Schizosaccharomyces pombe: one gene and its partner. The protein of the gene in region 1 interacts with the protein of each later gene in a biochemical or structural test. Each region holds a gene or a part of one and is shown on either strand. Other genes may lie near its edges.

Region 1 (4,983 bases):
GAGAAATTTTTCGGGAAATACCCCTCAATCACCACAAATAAATTCTGCTGCTTTGAAAGTGGAAACAAAGAATAGCTGGACAGCAATTTCTGAAGAGACTGAAGGACTTCAAGATGACGAAGAGTATAATGGTATTCCTGTCGATGTAAACGAATTGTTAAACGTAGAATTCATATCGCAAATACCAATGAGTACGGAAACAAGCTCCAGTTCAAGCCCGCAGCCTACGGAGGAACGGAAAGCAAAGTTCAAACCCAGTTTTACTCAAGGCACATTCGTCTCAAAGCGCATGCGTATGCATGCGGAGGATTTATTCTAGAAAATAGAAGAATGCAATTGATAAAAAAGAACTACACTTCTACAATTTAGAATATCGCTTTTCATATAAACAAGGTATGACTGATGTTAAATTTATCCATTTTTAACTACCCGTAATACTATTATACTTTAATGACAACGATTTTTGTTTTCTCTTTCATCAAGCATTGTATTGAATAACTTATAGACGAAGAATGCTATTGCTGCTGTGCAAACTGGCTTTATCAATTCGATATATAAACAGTTTTCGCCATGCATGGCTAAGATCGTAAAGTTCAGCATCACAAAAAGTTGGAGGATCATGTTTTAAAAGTGAGTATAAGTACTTGTAATTTTAGACACTACATTTTAGCAGGGGCTTCATCGGCTTTCGCCTCAGCACTTCTCTTGGAGTCGGCAGTATCGCTTTCCGACTTTACTGCTTTTCCAACGTCATCAAAAAAGTTGTTAATTCCATGTCGCACACGTTCAATACCATAAACAATCTTGTGGTCGGCTTTACGAACGTCTTCTTTACCTTCGCGTTCCATTATTTATAATTTCAGAGGATGTACAAAAAATTCAAGGTTGGTCGTATTATCAAAACTTCGCAAATGTATAGGGACAAAAGCAATTAATAACTTTAATCTCACCTAGTGTTTAAGTGTGATAGAATGAGTATTTATCACCAGTTGTTTTGTTAAAGAATAAACCGCCGAAGCCGGGCGGCTGCTGTATATATAGTAAACATATCAGCGTCCCTACCGCCAACCCATGACGTAAGTCGGGTTATTAAGAAATGCGATCTCGTGAAATAAAAAATAAGATTGAAAATAATGGAAATTGGAAGAAAAACCGAGAATTACAAGGGCGTTTTGTATGTACCTGATAAATGAATATGTTTAATCTATTTGACTCACATAAACGTTGTATTTATGTTTTTTTTAGTGTTTATTTATTTTTTCGATTAGTGTATTTCACTAAGTAAACAAATTATTATACGATTTTTTATTCACATCGAATGATGCTGCAGGTACAAATCGAGCTATCTAAAAAATATTACTTTTCAGTACGCCTGAACCGCTTGCATAGTATATTAAGTTTTTGATTAATAGCATGTTGCATTCCATTCAAAAATTTAATATTTTACATAGTAAAACGATTTGAGACGGGAGATAGCTATACAGAACGTGAAGTCTGCAAATACATACATGCTAAATCATTGTTTTATTAGCATAATGTCTAAGTCTATAAGTTCGCTTACCGGAGTTTATGGTAAGTATTTTTTTTCAGGACTGCCTTGGGTCGCTTCTCAAATCACAGTATTCACACATAATCAATACAAAATAGTGAGCAAAACTTGTGCGCTTAACAGAGATAACAATTATAGAGTCTCAAGGATGAATAAAGTGGACTTTGAATGAATCAATTGTTCACCATATATATCTCAGCATTTGAAGGCTTTTTATCTTTCCACTGCAATATTCTATTGCTTTTTTTTGATAGTTTAAGGCTGAAAAATCTTCATTACATCGGTTTTCTTGATAAATTTGTTAATTGTTGACATGAAAAGCTGCACCTGGCAACGCGTTGCCGTTTGTTTACCTCGTTGTTAGTTTCATTTACAATCAACACCACCACCATATACGAATAAAGAATACTGCCATAAAGGCGAGATTGAAAAATCTCTTAATTCGTGTTTTTTTCCGTTTACATGTCTCAACAATTAAGCTTTAATGCATCTTCAGCAAAGCCTGATAAAAGTTTTTCAAATTACTTTTGGGTATGGTGTCTAAGCCAACGTGGATAGCTCATTATCTGCCAAAACTTTCGATTTTTGTGTTAAACACAACACCTTAACTAACATTCTTTATTAGGGTGCAAATGATGAGGGTTATCATGCTTTACTTTCGCGTTTTAGCGATGTGAAACACATTAATGAAGAGCTTCGGTCGTTTTATCATGAAAGGTGAGAAATTTGAGGTGAAGCAGGGTTTAACATGCTATGATCGTTTATTCTAACTTCAACCTTAGAGCGAACATTGAAGAAGATTATGCCAAGCGAATGGCAAAGTTGTCTCGAACAACCTTCAGTTCTTTGGAAACTGGTTGCCTCAAAGAATCAGTCCAAGTTATGAAAGCTGAAGTTGACAATATGGCAAAGTCTCATTTGCAGATTTCTCAGTTGCTTCAGGATGATGTCGAAAATGCGTTTACGCGGTACGCTGCCTCTTTAAAGGACAAGAAAAAGATGATCGTTTCGGGGATAGAAAAAGTTCATAAGGATAAACTCTCCAAGCATCAAGCTCTTGTTAAAGCTCAAGACAAATACCATTACTTGTGCAAGAAAGTAAATTACTATGTTTCTCAGCAAAACATGCTTTTCGGAAAGGAGCTAGAGAAGAACAATGCGAAATTAAACAAGACTCAGAATGCTATCACTGCTAGTTCTTCTGACTATCAATCAGCTGTAGCAGCTGTCAGAGATTCATACGCTCGTTGGACCAACGAATGGCGGTCAACCTGTGACAAACTTCAGGACATTGAAGAAGAAAGAAGACATTTCCTGAAAAGCGTCATGTGGACATTTACACTACTTATCTCTCGTAGTTGCTTTAATGATGATCAAGCATGTGAACGAATTCGCAAAAATCTTGAACAGTGCAGTGTCTCTCAGGATGTTTTGGAATTTATTGACGCAAAATCTACAGGAACGGGAATTCCTCAACCTCCAAAATTTTATGACTATTATAAGGGCGAGGTTCCCGATGATTCTGTAGAGTTGGTTCAGGCTAATTTTCAGCGGGCCCAAACCAAAATAGAAAATGACAACATGCCATTGAATCGTCCATACGTCCTTTCTGCCACCGCTCGTAATGAGTCGTCCTTCGAAAATACCCTTCCTAATACTCCTAGTGCAATTCAATCGCTTACCACTGTTTCTTCTAACTCTTCCCAAAATGGTAGAAGCTCTCCAAAGAAAAGCTTTTTGAGTAAGTTTAAATTAACGAGTCGTCCTTCGACTCCAAACGTTGGTAATACGGCTCCGGATGCATTATCAAGTCCGAGAAATGACTCTCCTTTAACTTCAGCGGCTGATGAACAGATGAAGCATCTTTCTTTACAAGAAGAGCCAAAACAGAATCCTACGCCTGCTGCTCCTGGTGCCTTCCCTAACTCTAATACACTACCACCAAGGTATAACGAACTTGGTTCTCTACCAAGTCCTAATTCTGTTTCTTTCACCGAGGACTCCCGCCCAAATGTTAACACTCCATCACGGCGTCAACAAATTCAGGAAGAATTTGGTAGTGTACTACAAATGGAGAATCGTGCGGTTTCACCCGTTTATGATTCAAGAAAGAATGGATCTCGAAGTTCATTCACATTGAGGAAAAGTAGGTCACCAAAACGTCCTTCCTCTTCCCTTTCTCAGAATGCCAGCCGACTTCCTCGTTCCTTAACACCAGGAAATTTAGAGCCAAATTATGATTTCGGTGTTCGAGTTGATCCAGCAAGTGGTACTGCACCTACCGATGACGAGCCTTATACTGATCGGGACTCTTCCTTTGTTGATGATACAATAAATACAAAAGCTACTGGAAACACGTCTAACCGACTTTCTTTACCTGCATATCCTACAGACGGCGGTGACACCAGTATTGATAATCCAACAAGTACAGATGGTCAACGTATTCTTGGTTATGGTATGTCTAATCTGTCCATCGCTATTACAATTACTAACTTGAATTTAGTATCTGCTTTATATGATTATGATGCTGCAATACCCGAAGAGATAAGCTTCAGGAAGGGAGATACCATTGCAGTTCTTAAGCTTTATGAAGACGGCTGGTGGGAGGGATTTGTCGTTGGAGAGGATGACCATAACCGTGGGCAATTTCCGTCAAATTTTGTTCGTGAAATCGAGGTTTAGCTTTCGTATTATAGTTTCGCATTTTCTCATCTTTTCTCATTCTCATTTAAATCTAAAATACTAGATTTCTAATTTTGGTTGTTTTACATTATAGGATATTTAGAATGCTACACGTTTAGTTAAGTTATCTACATTATAAGATTATTATCTTATAAATCTTTATGAATTTTGCAGATTAAAATGATACCGATTGTTATATATAGCATTATGTTCAAAATGATTGAATTATTGTCATTCATTGCACCATTTTCTACCTAAATATTTCTAGTAATTCTCGTTTGCTTCTAAAATTCTGTAATAACTTAAAAAACATCAAATCTTTACCAATCTAAGTTAACACACAGGTCTATAATAGCTTCATGTATAACTAATTACTATTTCCTAGTAAGCTGTGACAACGTGGCCGAGTGGTTTTAAGGCGTTCGCCTGCTATTCTGTAGCCCAGCGGATTCCCTTTGGGAGCGCAGGTTCGAATCCTGCCGTTGTCGATATCTTTTTTAAGTTGCAAAGCGATTCACTATAAATTTTTGCGGTTCTATATTGGAAATCGCTATTCACTGTTATTTTTGTTACTTAGCAAAGTGGTTTTGTTGTTATAACTAACGTCTCCAACGATAAAAGACAACAATCTGCTTGTATTACTATAAATGCAAGATTCTTCCTCTTACGCGAGGCGTATGTTTTCTTTTTTTTCTTTTGACTAATAAGTTAACAATAAGTTTAGGGTATTCACAGGCACCTTCTTCATCTAA
Region 2 (3,733 bases), 1.8 Mb from region 1:
TTTCCAAACCCTCAAAAAACGAAGGAATTCCAAACACATTTTACGTTTCCTGTAAACTAACAACCCCATAACGATCAGTGTTATTGATAAGAAAGCGTCATACTCGTCATGTTTAGTAGGGTCAATGACGATAGGAGCAAATTTTCAAATTTTCATAAAAATTCGGTTTTCAACACAACCCGTCACGTTTTTATCACGCTCTTCCAATTTTACAGCCTTTTACATAATCAAACTTCACAATTGCATGTATAAACACATACCTATTTGACTTAATCAACCAAACGTACTAGTAGCAGGTCGTCGTCATGAACCAGAGAATTCGTAATTCAGATCCAACTAAGCGATGACTACTGTATAAATGATGAAAAGACTCGGTCAACTGTCCAAACTGAAATTTACAAACAGAAAAATGGTTTTCGTCAATTCAATCGTTCAAAAAGTGCTCAAAGTAAACTTTTTAGCAATTTCCTAAGTAGTTTCTTTCTTCTTATGTTGTAAGTAAAGGGTAAGTTGTAAATTCCTAGTGCCACACTTCCACCTGTTTCAAACAGATGACGTCATTGCATCACTTTGCATGATTGAACTTAACCAATCACGTGCGGGGCTCTGAAGAAGGGTAACAAGGAAATGGGTCTGGAATAAACCGAGCAAGACGATACTTAAAGTACTGCTGTGTAGTTTTGTATTTTGTGTTATCGTATCGTTAAGAAACGTATCGATAGTTTGGGGAATGGGAAAGGATGGACGGAAAGTAGGATGTTATTGGTATATCATGGAGTGCGTGCTTTTTAAGCAAATATGATGTTAGCAATATGTAGTAAAAATGGTGAGTTTGTGTATAGTGCCATGAATCTTATTTCACTCTTAACTCAAGCTTATTTTATATTAACCGATGAATGAATAAATAATATATCTTTGATGAAGCTAAATCGTTGCGTGTATTTCTGATATTATGTTGTATGTAGGTAAGTGTTTTAGGTTGGACTTCTGCGTGTTTGTAAGATGTGTACGTACGCTGAGTAATTAGCAATGTATGAATAGATCCAGCAGTTCCAGAAGACCTACGAAAAAATAAAATAAAATAAAATAAAATAAAGTAAAAAATAAAATTAAAATAAAAATAAAGATAGGTTATACGCAGAAATAATATACAAGTTTCAAATATTATGAGTACTTGTCACGAATTCAATTATGGAGAATTCTGTACAGTAGGATCTTTCAAAAAGTCTTTACATAGACTTAGATTGTATATATAACATACCAACCCTTACAACATTTAAATAACAGTTTTAATAGCTAATTCATTTGTTTTACAATGAAATCTTTTGCTTACATTTTCGGGAACTTATTAGTCAATACGGGTTGGCATTTTGTTGGGATTACGGATCCGAAAACTACCCAAAAGATAAGCAAAGAAAATGAAGTTTTTTAAAAACAAAATAAATTTGTATTCGTGAAACATAAAAGAATAAAAAAATTAAGTTAGAAACATTTTATGCAAATCATTCCATTCAATTAGCAATTGTGATGGAATTGGTTATACCAATAGATATTTTACACTCATTTTAAAACAATTAAAATTAAGTGAATATATTTGTGTGGTGTGTACTGAGTCAATCATTAATGCAATTAGTTATATTAATAAAGTTCTTTTTGTTTGCGATAACTTTCGTCTCTCTTTTTTTTTTTTTTTTTTTGTTAATTTTTAATTTTTTTTAACACGGCATCTTTCTTCACGAATTTCCTAACTGGAGCCATCAATATCGTAGCGTACACAAATTTCCGTTAAAGCATTTTAAATTGCAGTAAGCTACGTTAAATGAATGAACGAAAGCTAACCCCCGTTATCGGAGACAAACCAGCCCCCTCCTACAGAAGTTGCGCTGCACTGCTTAAAATCCGCACTCGAATTGTATAAAGTAGCTTTTTTGTTTATAACCCGTTTCTCCATCTACCATATGTCAAAGAATCCTCTTGGAACGTTGGTTGTCCGAATATGGAAAGCTGTAAGTCTTAAAAGATGAAGATTTGTTTTGTAAAACTAACGTGTCTTCTTTAGAAAAATTTACCAAACAAGGCTCTAGTGGGCAAACAAAGCCCTTACTGCGTTTGCAGAGTTGGTGAGGTGGTAAAACGTACGCAAACGGATAAGAGAAGCGGTCAAGAACCATCGTGGAATGCGGTACTGGAGTTTAACATTCCCAGTGAATCTTATCATATTATGAAAATAACCGTTTTTCACGAGGGATTTCGAAAGCATCCACACTTGATTGGTGATACTGTATTGTCTTTTGAGAAAGCGATGAAAGAAGAGTTACAAAGTGAATGGTATGAACTAAAAAATGAGTTCCAATTTGCTGGCGAGCTATCTGTGCAATTCAAGTTTATCCCCACTGATCCTCTATACTTTGACCGTGCTTCTTCTAAGCCAGTTTTACAATTTCCATATTCTAGTGTCGCCGCTTTAACTCCTGTACCTAAAAAACCCTCCAAACCCTCCAAACCTCGCAAAAAGGTACCTGTCTCGCATCCTCTTCCTCCAACTCCTCCTTCCAGGGAAGAGCATGTTTCGGTGCCTCGCGAATCTTCTTTATTCACATATGAGGATGATCCCTTGCCTTCTTTTCCCAGTCCTTATATGGTTGATGATTATTACACGCAAGATGTTTTCGTGTCTGACAATGTCAATGATTATTCATATGGTGTACAAAACCCCACGAATCCTAGATTGTCCGTTGAAGACTACGATGCCAACCATTCCTCTCTACCTCCCGTCCCCCCACCTCATTTAATTCTTCCTACAGCTTCTTCTTCCCAAATATTCCATTAAACCACACATTCTCTTTTTTTTTATATTCAATGGTCACTGCATTCATCGATTTAGGTGGTATGGTATAAATTTCCTAATCTTAACATCTTTTCATTTTTTTAATTATGTATATACAATTTCCCTAAAGCCATGCACGCACTTTGATTGAATTTCTCTTGTACATACAGGCCTTTACCACTTTTCAAGTCTTAATAATTTTTTTACCTCATAAAGATGAGCGGTTCTAGTTATTATCCAAGGTTGTTTTGTTTTTTTAAACACTTCCATCTCCTCTTTTTCTTTCTCTCCTTTTTTGGTCTCTTAATTCCATACGATTGGAATGTTTAACATTCATCCTATATTTAGAGATTGAAAAGTGTACATAACTCATATATTTCTTGAATTTATTCATTAAAACTATCAATTTTATATTATCAATTTTTTGGAACAAAAACCCCTTTGATCGTATTTTTAAAAGCTTTTTACTAAACTTCATTTGTATTTCTGATATAAGTCATTTGTTTAACTGTTTTTTTTAGACACCAATGTAGCAACAGAAACATCTTCAGCCTTGCGACCCATTACTTCCGATGAAAACAAATATAGCTGCTTTACCTTACCCTGCTATGAACAACGATACATTTCAAGTCAAAATCTAAAAGTCATTACAATACAATAGTTACTAACATCAACTTGGACGGAAAAAAAGTACATTGAAAATACTATACATAGAAACCTATATAACATATATACAGGTATATATTTTAAAGAAGGCCTGGATTATGTATAAATATTGATAACATCAAAACGAAAATGAAACATTATTTTCTTTTTTATTGTCATGAAAACGGAACCACAAAGTAATTGTGATTACTTCTTTTTAGGACCGCCCAAAGGAGCACCAATGTTTTGGCCACGTAATTT

The links.
Region 2: the proteins of imp2 (region 1) and fic1 form a complex in vitro, tested with the Schizosaccharomyces pombe proteins (one study listed by BioGRID).

The regions. Positions count from the first base shown.
Region 1 is NC_003423.3:3,345,970-3,350,952, forward strand, and holds imp2 (F-BAR domain protein Imp2), read left to right. Parts: upstream 1-1,930; 5' UTR 1,931-2,011; coding exon 2,012-2,080; exon of another isoform or gene 2,081-2,174; coding exon 2,175-2,266; exon of another isoform or gene 2,267-2,331; coding exon 2,332-4,004; exon of another isoform or gene 4,005-4,052; coding exon 4,053-4,231; 3' UTR 4,232-4,483; downstream 4,484-4,983. Other genes in the region: SPOM_SPBC11C11.01 (U2-associated protein), read left to right, coding at 1-319; protein tam11, read right to left, coding at 660-848; protein Ndc80, read left to right, coding at 4,879-4,906, 4,956-4,983. UniProt on the Schizosaccharomyces pombe protein: Required for normal septation. Involved in the disassembly of the medial ring during septation.
Region 2 is NC_003423.3:1,542,992-1,546,724, reverse strand, and holds fic1 (contractile ring-membrane anchor Fic1), read left to right. Parts: upstream 1-1,949; 5' UTR 1,950-1,958; coding exon 1,959-2,006; intron 2,007-2,059; coding exon 2,060-2,830; 3' UTR 2,831-3,233; downstream 3,234-3,733. Other genes in the region: multiprotein bridging factor Mbf1, read right to left, coding at 3,680-3,733. UniProt on the Schizosaccharomyces pombe protein: Involved in the ingression of the plasma membrane during cytokinesis, leading to the separation of the daughter cells.